Linked DNA regions of Diceros bicornis minor. The protein of the gene in region 2 purifies or fractionates together with the protein of the main gene of each other region. This does not show direct contact. Links are inferred from orthologs where the notes say so. Each region holds a gene or a part of one and is shown on either strand. Other genes may lie near its edges.

Region 1 (7,654 bases), on a different chromosome or scaffold from region 2:
TCCCTTACAAACAGAGGATGGGAAACGATGAGCTAGAGCCAGCTAGCCCACCGGTGGGCGGGGGTGCCCTAAGAGCCCACTGTGAGGGGTAACGAAGCCACCCTGTCCATTTGTGGCAGGGCTCGTTTGGACAAAGGAGCTGCTTCATTCTAGCGTCTGCCTGAGGCATCTGATGAGCACAAGAGCGAGATGACAGTGACTCACAATGACAGTGACTCACCAAGAGCTTGCTAGTGTCTTAATAGAAGTCCTTTATTTAAAACACCTCTTAACAAGACTTTTATTCCCAAAGCCCTCTGGACATGGAGCAGATTTATTACAGTCTTAGTCACTCTGGATTTTTCACAGGAGTTCAAGTTTAGTAACAGAAACCCAATGTCACTTAACCTGGATAGAAAGCACCTTATTAGGCTTGTCAAACGCTTCGCATATTACAATCGGCCCACTCTAACTTAACAACCAGCAGGTCCGAAGATCAGACTCCAAACCTCCTACTCTCTGCAGCCAACGGACCCACTTCAACAAAACCTGAGCATGCCCGCAAACGTGGAGACGCCCAGCCCTGGGCACAGCTGGAATGGTACGTGTGCTGGCCCACAGGTGCCATCTTTAACACACAAGTGCACTGGCCCACAATGGGCTGAGGTCACATGCTTCCCAGAACTTGTCTTTTCACAAAATAACAATCTGTTGCTTAGGAAACTGCAAACACTTGTCCCTTTAGGCTCCCACAGCCTTTGTTGTACCCTCAGGAAGGGAGATTTAAAACAGATTAGATGAGACAGATCTTGTGCCTTGCTATTCTCATTTGCTACTAAGCAAAACCTGGCCAAGTAGAGCCAATCAATTATTTCCTAAGATTACATTCTGCCTGTTTGATTAAATCAGGATGGATTAACTCCTGGGTGATGCGATTTCCTTTCAGCCAAGGCAGATGTAAACATTAAGCCTAGAATAAAATAGTATTTGCACTAAAAGTCAACGATTTGAATTTCACTGTAAGAAGCAAAGCCCTATGATTATTCTGGGCATTCACCTCGCCCCCAAAACCAGGCCTGGTCACCCCCGGGGCAGCACGGAGCTCGGCAGCACTCCCCAAGCCCACTTTCCTTGGGGCACCACCCCCTAGGCAAAGCCGTCACCCCCGTTCTGCTTCATGTTCACTTGGGTCTGACCGAAAACTAAATTCACAGGTGTAAAAATCTGCTTCTGACAAATATATAATTAAATATTTTCTACTTCACAGAACATACTGGGAACAAAGGAACAATCCAAAGGCCTCACAAAGAAGAAACTGATAAAAGCTGACAGTAGGCATTCTGCAAGGCAACACACCAACTTTCTAAGAGTCAGATATCTTAAAAAAAGCGACAAAGGCAGAGAAAGGATGTTCTAGATTAAATAGCTAAGGGACAGAGCAACCAGATGTGCAGTCCTGGCTCACACCACCCAAGAATGAAAAGACATTTGGGGACAACTGGAGAAATATGAACAAGGACTAAGAATGGGGAGTGACACTAAGGAACTGTCATGTTGTCTGATGTGACAACAGTGCTGGGTAAAAACAGCGTTACATTTAGAGATGCAGCTGAAGTGAGTGGGGTGAGATGTCAATTATCATTTAGTTGAGCCACGGGGCTGGCCCTTAGTTGAAAACCATTCAGCTAAAACATAAAACAAATACCAAAACATCTTACTTATCCATTGTCAGTCTATGTGCCGGATTGGGGGGGGGGGTGTCCTTATAACATTCCATTTTTTTGTTTGGTTAAGAATTTTCAAATAAAAAGTTTTCACACATCTTTTTGTCCCATGTGTTTCATAGCCAAGTCTGATCATGAAAAAAAGCTGCACCATATTTGGGGGGAGGGGGGGTTTTTTTTTTTTGAGGGATATCAGCCCTGAGCTAACATCCATGCTAATCCTCCTCTTTTTTGCTGAGGAAGACCCGCTCTGAGCTAACATCTATTGCCAATCCTCCTCTTTTTTTTTTTCCTCCCCAAAGCCCCAGTAGATAGTTGTATGTCATAGCTGCACATCCTTCTAGTTGCTGCATGTGGGACGTGACCTCAGCATGGCCAGAGAAGCGGTGCGTTGGTGCACGCCCGCGATCTGAACCTGGGCCGCCAGTAGTGGAGCGCAGGCACTTAACCGCTAAGCCAGGGGGCCGGCCCTGCACCATTTTTTTCTTACAAAACTTTTGATGGGGTCTTTATACAAATAACGGCCCAAACCGCCTGGCTTGTTTCTGTCAACTTTTCTGGAGGAAAGGGAAACCCAAACCCAAGAACTTCGTGCAGATATTTCTGGGGAGACGCCGAGGCCGGACGAGCAGGCAGAGCTCAGAGGCAGCGGGCACAGGGGACACTCACAGTCCGGGCAGCAGCCATTGAAGGCCATCCGGCAGATGCCACAGTTCTCGTCGTTGGCCACCCAGAGCCAAGTGGCCACTCCGTTCCAGCACTTGATCTTCACCTTCATGGCGGCGGAGCCTGCGGGCGAGCGAAAAGAGCACCCGACAACATTTAGTCTGCAGAGCTCAGCGTTTCAGCACCAAAGGACAGGCGCTGCCCGGAGCCCGAGGGTCTGCGCCCGCGGGACTCGCCGTCCGAGCCCTGAGAGTCCGGCAGCCGCCGAGAGGGCGGCCGGGCTGTGGTTGCCCCTGGGAGAGCGGGAGCCCCGCGACTGAGGCTGGCCACTCATCTAGGGCACCTGCGTCGGCCGCACGCTCCGCCCGGACGCCCGCGAGGGGCACTCTGGCTTCGGTAGTAACAACAGGGGGCCGCGCGGACTACCCGTGGTGACAGACGAACACCGACCGCCCGCCAGTTCCCCGGGAAGGCCACCCAGTGCGCGCGTCCTGCGCCCCACACCGGACTCGCCCGAGGCGGGGAGGCTCCCGACCCCGGCCGCACCGCCCCGCGCCCCCCGCCGCCCGGGAAGGGAGAAGGGCGGTGCCCGGACCCGCCCCAACGGCCGCGCCCTCGCACCTCCGCGGCGAATCGCGCGCCGCCCCGCCCGCCTTCCGTTGGCAGCGCCGCCGGCGCGGGAAGGTACAAAAACGACCGGGGCCAGCTCCCAGCACCTCGCAGCTGCGCTAGCCGAGCCTCGCGTCCTATCGCGCACGCGCCGCTCCGCCCCGCTGCCCCCGCCCGCCTGCAGCCAATCGGCGGCCGCTCCGAGTACGCGGCACCGGAAGCCTCCGCGCGGCGCCGGAAGTGACGCTCCAGCGTGCTGACGCGCGGGCTCTAGCTGAGGCCGATTCCGCGCCCGCCATGGCCGACAAAATGGACATGTCTCTGGACGACATCATTAAGCTGAACCGAAGCCAGCGAGGCGGCCGCGGCGGGGGCCGGGGCCGCGGCCGGGCCGGCTCCCAGGGCGGCCGTGGCGGCGGTGCGCAGGCCGCCGCGCGAGTGAACCGAGGCGGCGGCGGGCCCATCCGGAACCGGCCGGCCATCGCCCGCGGCGCTGCGGGCGGCGGCGGCAGGAACCGGCCGGCGCCCTACAGCAGGGTGAGTGCGGAGGCCGGCCGGCCGCGGCGGGGCGGCGCGTGGCGGAGAGGACAGCGGGCCGGGCCGGGCCGGTGGCTCGGGCGCCGGGCTGGACGGGGAGGTCGCGCGGCCGGCCGGGCCTAGGAGGCGGAGACCCTGCCGGCCTTTTGTCTCGGCTGGGCGCCGGGCCTCGTGGCGCCGGGGGCGGAGGGGGTGTAGGGCGCGGCCGCACTGGCGGCGGAACGTTCGTAGGAGGGAACCGAGAAGTTGCGGGGCATGGGGCCTCGGCGGGGTCGGCTGCGGCCCAGCGCGCGCAGGCGGGAAGCGGAGGACTGCAGTGTCCTCTGGGCTCTCTTCTCCGGGCTCCGATCGGAGAGGGTCTTGCCGTGGCCGTGAGCGCGCGAGAGAGCCCTGGAGTGAGACTCAATGGGTCTGTTTCTGTTCTGGTGTTTTTCTTTTCCTTCAGCCGAAACAACTTCCTGACAAATGGCAACACGACCTTTTCGACAGCGGATTTGGGGGTGGTGCCGGCGTGGAGACGGGTGGGAAACTGCTGGTGTCAAATCTGGATTTTGGAGTATCCGACGCTGATATTCAGGTAAGGGTTTGGAGCTTCTCGGTGAGCAGTTCACCCTGCACGGAATCGGTCGTGTTGTTTGGGATGTGGCCCTGAAGTCCCCCCCCATCTTAAGACAGTGAGCCCTCCCAGGCACCCAAGAGCTAGCGGCTGTCCCCTGTAAGGGGCGGCAGGAGTGCAAAGCAGAGGTCATGCCAGAGTTGAAAGTCCCACAAGTAGGTCAGTTTGTGTTGGGAGACAGGCCCCCAGCTTGGTCTAAGGAGTTGCTGCTCCTTACTAAGATGTGTTCTGTGAGTGGAAATCCTCTGCCGGGGTTCCCAGTTTCTAACAGGAAAAGACTGGTTAGATATGAGTCGTTCCTGTGTTACTGATAAAGCTAGGCTGCTTGCTTGCTTTAATTAGTACCTGTTTTAATGATTTGTTGGGAGGAGAAAGATTTTCTTTTGTAGAACTGGAAAAGCACAGAAGCAGGATGGTGCCGGTCATCTTTCCAGCTCTGTTTGCCTTGAGCCCTGTGTCTCATAAGGAACTTGTGTCATGTTGTCTCACTTATCACCATCCCCCTGGGTCTTGTTAGTGGCATGATTCTCAAACCCATCTTTGGTTGAAGCCTTTTTTTTTTTTTTTTTTTTTTTTGATTGAATTCCGAACGCGTTTAAACTTCTTTTCTGGTTTAGTAACAATATTTTGGGGGTCAGTCTTGGAGATGGCTGGGTCAGGGTACTGGGCCTTCCTGGGTTAAATTTCCCAGAGCCCAGGCGTTTGACTTTACCGTGGGAGGACAGAGCAAGGCTGGTGAGCACTCACAGTGTCTCAACACTTTTTTTAAGGTGGTTTCTGGCATCCACTGGAAACCGCTTTTGGTGAACTCCACTTCCCGCTGTGTGCCTGCGGCCGGAGTAGCCCCACACTCTGGGTTCCCTCTCCAACTCCCAGCCTGCCTGAGGTCAGGGCAGTTTCCATGGCAGCGCTTGACTTCAGACTTTGCGGCAGGCTTGAGTAGGAGGAGAGGGAAAGGTGAGCCAGAATCTGCCCTGGGGGAGGGGCTGGGTCAGGGCTCCCGAATCAGCGGGCCCTTTGAGCTGGTCCACATGTTAGATAGCATCCCTTGCTCTGTGATGTTGGCCTTTGCTGTTTCTTGGCACAGTCCTTGAGTGTGTTGTAAATTTTCCTTTGTCGAAGAAGATAGTGACTTAGTCTCGTGCCTTTCACTGGTGGGCTTTGTGATCCTTTACCTGCATCACAGTATAGGTGTCAGGTCCCCAAGTTGGCAGGAGCCCTCAGGCCCAGCTGCTCCTGGAAGTTGCTGTCCCACCTGCCCCATCCCTTCCCCCAGTTCCCGCTACCACTGCCCTGCCCCCCATACGTAAGTCTGCCTCCCAGGGAAATATCCCCAAAGCAGCTCACACTTCCAGGGATTGTCCCTGGGCCACCAGAAGAAAAACAGCTTTGCTAACAGCTGCTCTTTCCAATTCCCAGGAACTCTTTGCTGAATTTGGAACTCTGAAGAAGGCGGCCGTGCACTATGATCGCTCTGGCCGCAGTTTAGGAACAGCTGATGTGCACTTTGAACGGAAGGCAGATGCCCTGAAAGCTATGAAACAGTACAACGGTGTCCCTTTGGATGGTGCGTTTGGGGTCAGCCCAGGAAGACTGAGGGCTGTATCTAGTTTGTGGAGTTTGGGGCTGGCACCTGTCCATGCAGGAATACGGCTTACTTCTCTGGCTGAAGGCACTTTGTATTCACCCCTTTGTCTCTCTCTTCTATTCTGACACCTCTCGTGCTGCCCCACACATCTGAGCCAACCTCTTGTGAACCCCCATCCAGCAAGCTACATCCCTCCCCTCCTTCAGCTCCTTCCGGAAGATTCACTTCCGTGAAGTCTTCTCAGAACTGCTATAGTACATCTCTGAGTTCGGGGCTATAGTCATAAAGACAAAGGTACCAGTTCTTCCATCAGATCACCCACATCTTTCTGCCCGTGAGCACCTTGGACACCTGAACAGACACCCACCTCAACTGGACTAAGAAAGAGCGAGGTGTTGCTGGGGTTGTCGTTGGTGCCGTCTTATTCTCCCGGCAGTATCTCCAGGCCATATCTCTTGTCAGGAGCCTTTGAGGCACACAAAGCGCCTTTCCAGTGCTTGCATGGAGATCAGGGTATGGTGCCACCTGGGCAAGTCTCAGAATCCTCTAACTGGAATGTGCCCTCTTGTATTCTTTGCCACAGGCCGCCCCATGAACATTCAGCTTGTCACATCACAGATTGACACACAGCGGAGACCTGCACAGAGGTGAGTTGTGGGGCCTCTGGGATGGGGTTGGCCTGTCCTGTGTGGCTGCTCATCTTTCAGGCCTCTCCATTTATGGAAATGAGTCTCCTTTTCCTTGCTAGTGTAAACAGAGGTGGAATGACTAGAAACCGTGGTTCTGGAGGTTTCGGTGGTGGTGGCTCCCGGAGAGGCACCCGTGGAGGCAGCCGGGGCAGGGGCAGAGGCACTGGCAGGAGTTCAAAGCAGCAGCTTTCTGCAGAGGAGTTGGACGCCCAGCTGGATGCTTATAACGCAAGAGTAAGTCCCAGACGAGGGCCAGGCTGGGGCCAACCAAAGCCCGACTGGTGTGTGGGACCCTGTTTTGAGTGAGAACCTCTTTTTACCTGTGTTTCAGATGGACACCAGTTAAACAGACCAGCAAATCCGTGCATGGGACAGGACCCAGACATCTCGTGTGCGCTCCCTGACGGGAGGAGGGTGGCAGACTGGGGCTGTGTGGCCAATGATGGATTTGTTTCTTTTATGTTTTAAAATAGGATTTAAAACTCTTGTAAAGGTTTTTTTTGTTTTTTGGTTTTGTTTTGTTTTTTTTTAATTCTGAAACAGACCTGTTTTGTACCAAGTTATTTTTGGGATAAATTTTACTGATTGCTGTTGTGGAGAAGGTGGTGTTTTCACCTTTGCCATAATAAAATAGAAATGCGTGTAGAACTGGAACTGTTTGATTCATCTCACTGTTGGAGTCCTTGCCTAGCCAGAACTTCAGTGTGGGCCCAGGTGGGAGGGAGGGACATGGGACCTGAGGAGGGGGCATCTGGCATCCTGGTGTGGGTTTGGAGTTAGTGCTTCAGGGGGTGGTGGCTGCTACTGTACCATTTCTCTCCCACTGATCCTAACTCCTTCCTCTCTGACTCGGTAGGTGGGAGGACAGGGGGCAGTAGTCCCTCTGCCTGCAGCTGCCTATTGATTGCCTGTGCCATGAGGTGAGGGATGGCAGGCACCTCATGTCGCTGCCAGATTTCAGATGATGAGGTTGCACTGTTCTTTCCTTCTGGTGCTGTGGTTCTCAGAAACCCAGACTCAGCACTTCTGACTTTGCAGCCTATTCCCCTGGTGTTTCTCTCGGTCTTTCTCATCAAGGGGGGAACAAGGTGTAAGTGTGTTCTCTTAATTGTGTATTTGGTGGAACAGCTAGTGGAAGCTGGCAGAGTCTCTTTTGACCTGCAGAAAACTGAAGGGGCTTGCAGACACATGTGCCCGTCTGGACCCCCTCTGAGACAGAATAGAGCAGGCTGGTGACCATCACTTG
Region 2 (8,031 bases):
TAGCTATCAGAAGAAATTAGAAGAAGAATTCATTCTGTGTCTGAATGAACTTAAGACATTTTCAAAGAAATGCTGAAACAAGAAGGTCTAATTTAACCCTGCACCCTATACGCTTTCCTATCTTCTACATCAACAGGAAACTTACCTATTAAGAAGTCTGTCCAAGAAGAAGATAACAAAAAAGAAATAACATAAATAGCACTACAAAGGTAGTTGTAATATAGTCAAATAACACTGAACTTGGAATCAGACAACTGGGATCTAATTTCAGCTGTGTCACTCACTGGCCATAGATCTTGGACAAGTCACTTAGCCAATCTAAACCCCCATTTCTACACGAGTAAATTCCCACCTTGGAAGGTCAAGATGAAGCCCCTTGTGCTTCAAAAATAAGACTGCCCCTACTCCATCCTCTACACAACCACTGAAAATAAGGAAGAAAAGGCCTCAGAATTGCTCCTGAAGACCCCTCCATACCTTCTTAGTTCCCCACACTCACAGCTCTACCACCACTCCCTGTCTTACTGTATAGCGTCCTTCACTCATGGTTACACCAGTCACCACAGGAAAGCCGAGCTTCCCAAGGAATCGCTCATCCCCAAGACTCCATGCTCTTTCCTGAGCCCATCTCTGCCATTCCTATGTCTGAAACCCTTCCTCTGTGCTCTAGAATTCATGGTCTGGTATCATCAAGATCTCCTATACCTTCATTCTCTTCTCTGAACTGTGCTTCTCACCTGAGGCCACTGCTTTCTCGCAGCGTTCTCAGGTGGTGGCTGTTTTGCGTCCCACATCCCCTGGACTACCATTGGGCTAGGACATGAAGTAGGTTTCCTCCTTGATGCTTGACGCCATTTCTGGATGATTTTTCGTCTCTAAAATCCTCTAATTTTGAATCACACGCAATCAGACCATACCACCTGCTATCCCAGTTAACTGCAGCTGTCTACAGACCCCTAAGCCATTCCCCTCATTCCCTGAAGATGTGGACTCCTGGCTCTTCCATTCTCTCCAACACTATTCATCATCATTCTTGGTGATTTCAAGAACTACAAAATCCTGGCTTTTTAGTTCTTAACTACCTCTCCTCCAATGATCACATCTTCTACCTCACTTCAGTCACTTCCAGGGTCACGCCCTTGACCTTGTCATTACCAACAACTACAATGTTACCATAATCTCAGTTTCAAACTTCCCACTTTCCATCCACCACCTCTATCTTTCCAGCTCATCACTACTAATACCCAACTCCAATTCTTCAACCTCACCATGTCATACGACCTATTGATTCTACCACCTATTCATTGTTTCTCACCCAACACATGCCCTCATTTCCCTCCTTAATCAGGTTAGAATCCAAGGTTCATCATGACAATAATTCCTCTTGCATATAACTTAACCCTCTTGCATCTCTCTTCCTTTACCAAACTTGCAAAACAATCCTGGTTAAACCCAGCCATGCCTGCACCCACATAGCTGAACAGAATACAAGATGCACATACAACCACGCTCACTGCTTTCCCTCAAACTACAAGACCATTGAATTTGGGTGGCTCCTAATACTAACCAGTAATCTTATTAGGCTTCCCCAGTCCACTTGCTTTGTCAGCTTTTCCATACCTTTCCCTTCTCCTCAAACTTCCAATATTTTCTTCTCCATCCTCACTCCTAGATAGTGCTCTTTCTTCTTCACTGAGAAAATGGAAGCAACAAGTGCCCACAACACATCTATCTGATCACACTGATGCCCCTATTCTCTCCCTTCCCTCCTACTGCCGTGGCTGTACTATCTGTGCTCCCCTCTAGAGCCATGACAGAGCTCCAAAGCACCCTGGCAGAGGAGGGAGACTAGAAGATTTGATGGAGGGCCTGAGAAAGGAGACATCAATAACCTGGGGACAAGTCAACATAGTGACGCAGCTTTGCAGGCTGCTAAGTTTCTCTGGCTGCTGAGTTTTCCTTACCACCTAGTTTCCAAGCTTGGCTGCACCCAACACAACTCTCACCTGACCAGATAACTATCAGGAAATCTGCCAAAAGGCCAAAGGAGGAAAGATGCACAGGTGAAGGTTCCTTACAAAATTGCTGCCAGGTAGCAAGAACCCTTACGAGAAAGTTGGGTACAACCGGGTTATACTTGATGTTGCGTAATATAACCTGAACTAGAAACGCTGACAACCTTCATGCACATTCCATTAGGAATTCAGTAAAACGTCACTCCCTGTGTAATTTAAAGGGATTTTAAATGGGATGTGGCTAACCAACCCGTAGTATAAAATATGGACAACAGAATACAGATTCTTAAACATATCCTCTGTGGCAGCCACATGCACGCACATTTGCACACTGACAATAATTCATTTTTCTTCTGCTACTAAACTGTAAGCAAACTTAGGGCATGGTCTGTGGATCTACTACTATGCCTAGCTCAGGAGTGACACATCATGGGCTTTTAAAAAGCCCATTTAACAAATAAATGACTAAAAGAGACCTGGGAGGCAGGATTGTACGATGATGTTAAGCTGTGCGAAAAGAGTTGTCTTCACCATAAAATACGGAAAATGGGCATATAAATTATTTTTCCCGTATACGGTCCCTTATCCTTTCACTGAAAGTTTACAGCTGGCCGGAAGGGAGGGGCGGGGTAGACAGGTGGCCCGCAAGTCCAGAGAAGGGGAAACTGAGGCTGGGGCAGTCTGTGACGCGCTCCTCTTCTCGGGGTTTCCACGCCGGCTCACTCACCTCGCCCGCAGTGTTGGCCAAGGCAATGAGGTCCCGCTTGGGTGACCAGACGAGGAAAATGATCTCCTGCGGCAGCTGCTTCTCTCCCACCACCCGGAAGGACGGGAAGCAGGTCGGAAAGCGCAACATGGGGGCGGCCCTGCAACAACACCCCAGTCGGAGGCCAGCAGGGGACCCCGCCGCCGCCCTCGCCCGCGGCCCTCCCCGGAGAGCCCCGACCGCGGGGGTACCTGTCACATCCCCTCGGCAACCGACACGGCCCGGGCAGCCTCTCTCCCTGCTCGGCCGGCTGCCGCCGCCGCCGCGCGGTCCGGGCACTTCCGGCGCCCGGACTTCCTCGCGAGAGGAGGGAGGCGGCGCGGGCGCGAGCGGCGGGCGGCTGGACCCGGATGCGGAGACTGGGCCGCGGGGCTGGAGGAGGGCAGGCGGCCGGGACTCTGAGGCCGCGCTCCAGTCTGTAGGTAAGGCGTGCCTACACGTGTGTGTGCTCGCCCGCAGTTTTTTTCCGTTTTCCCGGAAGTTCGCAGATACGGGTGAATGGACAGTCATAGGTGTAGGGGTGAGGCCTCAGAGACGAAGGGAAGACGAAAAGGAACGGCAACTTTAGGTCCTGACCAGCTGGAGCCCCCTGTGACAGTCTCTAAACAGGTAGTTCTCAGTCCTGGTTGCTCCGCAGAATCACCTGGAGAGATTGTTTTTAAACCCCTTGGCCAGGCAGCACCCCAGACCAAGTAAAAGAGAATTAATACGAGAGGGGACCCAGCATTTATTAAGACTCGCTAGGTGATTCAAATTTGCAGCCAAGGTGGGAGGGCCCGGCTCTAAAACCTCTGAGGTAGGCAAATATCTTGATTTTTTATCCCATTTAAGCCTCACAACTTACGGGTAGTAGTAGCCCCACCATAATAAATGAGGACTGTGGGCTCATCCAGGATTTATCCCATAGCGATTTGAGCATCTACGGTGTGAAACAATCTGGGACTACACTTATGCACGGGGCTGGGTTCTGCCCTAAAAGGCTCACTGGTCAGCCTGGCCGACATGTAAATCAGAATCCATCTGATGCTTCTTTATACAGGACACATTTAAATGTGTCAGTTGTGTTTCAAGTTCCCACAAGTTATGACCTGGGTTGAATCTGACAGTATCATCTTGACATTCTTGAATTTAAAATCTATGGTAAAAAAAAAAACTTCTACTTGTTCAAAGGGGAAAGAGGCGGCATGATCTTCCACTTTCAACAATCCCCATCTTCTTGCCCTCTATCTGGATCTTGCTCCTGGGAAGTAGGTTACAGAGGTAGACTATGTCATTCAGCAACAAATATTCCAGGCACTGTTTTGTGCCAGGCACTGTTCTTAACTCTAGATTTGATGCTTGCCCTGCTCCCTCTCACAGATGGGCTTTTTCCCTTGCCTTTGCTGCAATGTAGCATGTCCTCCAACTTCTTGCAGAGGCAGCATTTTTAAGGCGAGAATGGACTTGCCTTTGTTATTCATGAAACGCATTTTCGGGTGTTAGTGTTCTGGGGTGGCAAGAATGGATAATCTGGATGGTGGGGGTCTGATATCTATCCACTTAACATTCTCATGGAAACTGTATGCCTATTTTCCTGAAACTTATGATGAATATGAACCCTCATACAACACATGCAAAGGACTGTTAATACAGGTATACATACACCGTGCTATGGGACATGCATATTATGAAGACTTCACAGCAGAGTATGCATTTCCCGGAAGGTATTACAGCACAGGAAACAGCACAGGTGTGGAGTTCCAGATGTGGCCGGGAAACAGCAAATAATTTTATATGGCCATAGAACCTCATGTGTGTTGGTGGGAGTGGGGGGCAGGGATTGTTACTGGAAATGATCCAAAGTAGCCATAGAACAAGAGCTATTAACACATAGTGTTTCCAGCCTTTTCTTTCTCCCACTGCCCCATAAAGATTTTAGCTTGACCCACTCCATTTCTTTGCGTTCCTCATTCTCTAAGAAAAACACTGCTTAGTCAAATTGGTTTATTTGTGCTTCTATGGCATAGAATCAAGAGGAAAGGGGAATGCCAGAGATCGGGCATCAGTCGTTTTTAAGGAGGCACATGGAAAGTGGGAAGGGGGTGGGGAGGGAAATGGAAGGGAAAATAGACTTCAAGAAGAATTTCCATGCTCTGTGTATCCTCTTCCTAGTTCTTGAAAAATAAAATGGAAGAACTAGCTTTTTTGAAATAACTTTTTGGTAGCAAGGCTGTTTTCTTTGATCGTTACACCCCTTGGGCTAGCTCATACTGAGGGTATCTTTCCACATGTTATAATGGTATGGGGTTGGATTTTGAAGGGCCAGGCAGCTGCCAACAGAGATTTATTGGGGGGGGAGGGGCGGTGTTGTTGACAGCATCACACTGGTTCATTGGTTATTCAGGACCTTAAGTCTTGTGACAAGGGTGATGATGGGTTAGAAAGGAAGAACTGGAGGTGTAAAGATGGCAGGAAGACTAGTTGGGAAGGGTGTGAGTCCAGAGACATTTCTGAAGTAGAATAACAAGAACTGATTATTGATTTGATTGGGGAATGAAAGCAAGGGTTGGGATATTTGGATGCACAGACTCAGGAAAGAGAACTGGTTGTTCTTGGATTAGGGGCTGGGGTATGAGGGGGAAGGGGGGGAAAGTAGACCAGAGCAAAGGAGTTCAGTGAGGACTACCTTCAGGTGGAGGGGTGGTGTGAAAATCTGCAATGGCCAACAGGCAGCTGGAAAGGCAGATTTGAAGGGGAGGGGTCGGGGCCTGAGCAAAGATGTGGGAATCCCTGTGTCCAGGGATGGAAGATGGAGTGTGTGGGATGTGACTAACCTAGGCCATATGAAAGGCTGTTATTTTGAAGTCATAAAATAGGTGAAACATACAAAATAAGCAAATTGACTGGATTTGCTGGAAAGAGAAATAAATGTAGATGGTGGTTGGTGTTAGAACCTCTCTGCCCAGGGCCAGCCAGTATCATGGTGGTTAAGTTAATGCGCTTCGCTTTGGCAGCCCAGAGTTCACAGGTTCAGATCCTAGGTGTGGACCTACACACCGCTCATCTGGCCATGCTGTGGTGGCATCCCATATACAAAATGGAGGAAGACTGGCACAGATGTTAGTTCAGGGCCAATCTTCCTCACGAAAAAAAAAAAAAAACCCTCTCTGTCCTATGACAGTTGTATTCATTAGGCAACAAAAAAAAACCCGACTCAAAGTGGCACAAGTAACAACTAGAATGTACAGTTATGTGCCACATAATGATGAACCACATATATGACATGATTCCATAAGATTAGTACCATTTATCCTAGTTGTGTAGTAGGCTATACCATCTAGGTTTGGTAAGTACACTCTATGATGTTTGCACAACAATGAAATCGCCTAACTACACATTTCTCAGAATGTATCCCCATGGTTAAGCAACACATGACTGTACTGGCTCATGTAAATTACAAGTCCAGCAGTAATGCCAACTTCAGGGCAAGCTAGATCCAGCAACTTGGTGTCACCAGGGACCCTGCTCAGGGTGTGCATCTCACCATGTGGTTACTGGAAGACTGACAACAGCAACTGGAGCTATATGCTTCCTCATTCAGAAGGACAACAAACGCCTCTTCACCAATCACAAGACTCAAGTCCTAAGCTTCGTCGTGATTAAACCAACATTACGAGCCTAGCTGAAATCAATCACAGGTAAAGGGGATGGGATTATGTCCCAAAAAAGTCCTCCCCCAAGAGCTGGAGAGGATGTCAGTCATCCCTCTCCCAAACCCCATGGCAGGCACACAGTAGGGAGGGTGAGAAGATGGTGCTGGAGCAACCATTCAACACTGTTCAATATGACAATCCACCATGACTACTCAAAGGCTAGTTTTAAGTATGAAGTGCATTTGGGAGATGTTCCATCCTGGCAGAGTGAGACTAAATTGTTTCAATTCATAGTGTTTTGTTTGTCTCCCACAATCACTTCAGTTGCTGTTCTGGGAAAGAAATTCAGAGACCAACTCATGTGACTCCCATCTGGAGGGAGAAGTTCTAATAAGAGCTACAGAACCAGTATTCATCTGTATAGGAATTTATCCTGATGGGGTTCAGGGCAGGCTGCCCCAGATGCGCCACTCTGGTATGTGGATTATTTCGAGCTGAAGACAATAAAGGCTCAAAAGACTCAGGAAGAACATTTGACCTTCCCTCAAACTGCCTAAAAGAATTTAACATAGAAGGCCTGTTCCAGGAAGGAGATAATACCATAAGACAGCCATACTATAATGTAAAATAGGTGTCTTAGAGAGGCACCAACAAGCCCATTTTTGGCCCACCAAAACTTGTTTAACAAACATTTGCATTTCCATCTCCATGTAAATTGTCTTCCTCCCCTCTGAAATCCCAAACCACTACCCCCAATATCCTCCTTTGCCTTTAGCTGAAGATGATATTTAACGTGGTGGCTTTGGCTAGATGGCTGAGTTGCTCAGTTTTCCTGAGTTTCTCCCATGTATACATGTTATAAAGCTTTGTTTGATTCTCTCTGTTATTGTCTCACGTGAATTTAATTCATAGCCCAGCCAGAAGGACCTAGAGGGTAGAGGATTTGTCTTCCTCCCCTACAATCCTAAGGAAATAAGAAAAGATTTGGTTTTAAGTATGTTCATCATAGAGTCATTTACAATAGGGAAAAAATACAAACAACTTAGATGTCCAACCACAGATTAATTTTTTTTTAAATATGGTACATCGATACTGAAGAATACTACTATTGTGGTAGATATAAAACGATGTTCACAACATGTTTCTAAAAAGGAGAGGATTACAAAACAGTATGTATTTACCATTCCATTTTTGTGGGGGAATTTTAGAGTGTGTCTGTCTGTATAGCTATTTAGACAAGACTATCTGACAGAACATACACAGAAGTTGTGACAGTGGTTACCTCTGGGTGGTAGGATTAGAGTTGCTTTTCATTTTCTTTGATTTACCTGGCTCATGTATTAATTGTACAGTTACTAGGTAGCACCTTTAGTTTCCTTTGTCCTCTTTAAGCATGTGGAATGTTCAGGCTATCTCTAGTTTTCTCCCACTCCTCGCCTCCATGTTTGCAGATGAAGAAACTGGCCCATCTACTCAGGCTTAGTTTCTGAGAGACCACCAGATGTTACACTTCTAGTCTGCAGGGGTATTAAGCAACTAAACAACGTGAGAATCTTGTGACTGTCCAGCTAATGTCCAGGGATAAAACTCAGCTCAGAGCTCTGAGAGCTGCTTGCTC

Evidence for each region. Proteins that work in one complex are often made in the same cells at the same time.
Region 1: the proteins of ANAPC4 (region 2) and ANAPC11 purify together in Homo sapiens (affinity purification with mass spectrometry; 8 studies listed by BioGRID and IntAct, with this or other methods). This does not show direct contact. The link is inferred for Diceros bicornis minor from reciprocal best matches to the Homo sapiens genes ANAPC4 and ANAPC11.

Annotation. Positions count from the first base shown.
Region 1 is NC_080757.1:61,218,777-61,226,430, reverse strand, and holds the start of ANAPC11 (anaphase-promoting complex subunit 11), read right to left. Parts: upstream 3,096-7,654; 5' UTR 3,054-3,095; coding exon of another isoform or gene 2,830-3,053; intron 2,682-2,829; coding exon of another isoform or gene 2,482-2,681; coding exon 2,373-2,481; intron 1-2,372. Other genes in the region: ALYREF (THO complex subunit 4), read left to right, coding at 2,480-2,681, 2,830-3,053, 3,102-3,515, 3,961-4,092, 5,551-5,698, 6,303-6,366, 6,468-6,642, 6,740-6,754. UniProt on the Homo sapiens protein: Together with the cullin protein ANAPC2, constitutes the catalytic component of the anaphase promoting complex/cyclosome (APC/C), a cell cycle-regulated E3 ubiquitin ligase that controls progression through mitosis and the G1 phase of the cell cycle.
Region 2 is NC_080747.1:20,485,815-20,493,845, reverse strand, and holds the start of ANAPC4 (anaphase-promoting complex subunit 4), read right to left. Parts: upstream 3,052-8,031; 5' UTR 2,973-3,051; intron 2,882-2,972; 5' UTR 2,872-2,881; coding exon 2,743-2,871; intron 1-2,742. UniProt on the Homo sapiens protein: Component of the anaphase promoting complex/cyclosome (APC/C), a cell cycle-regulated E3 ubiquitin ligase that controls progression through mitosis and the G1 phase of the cell cycle.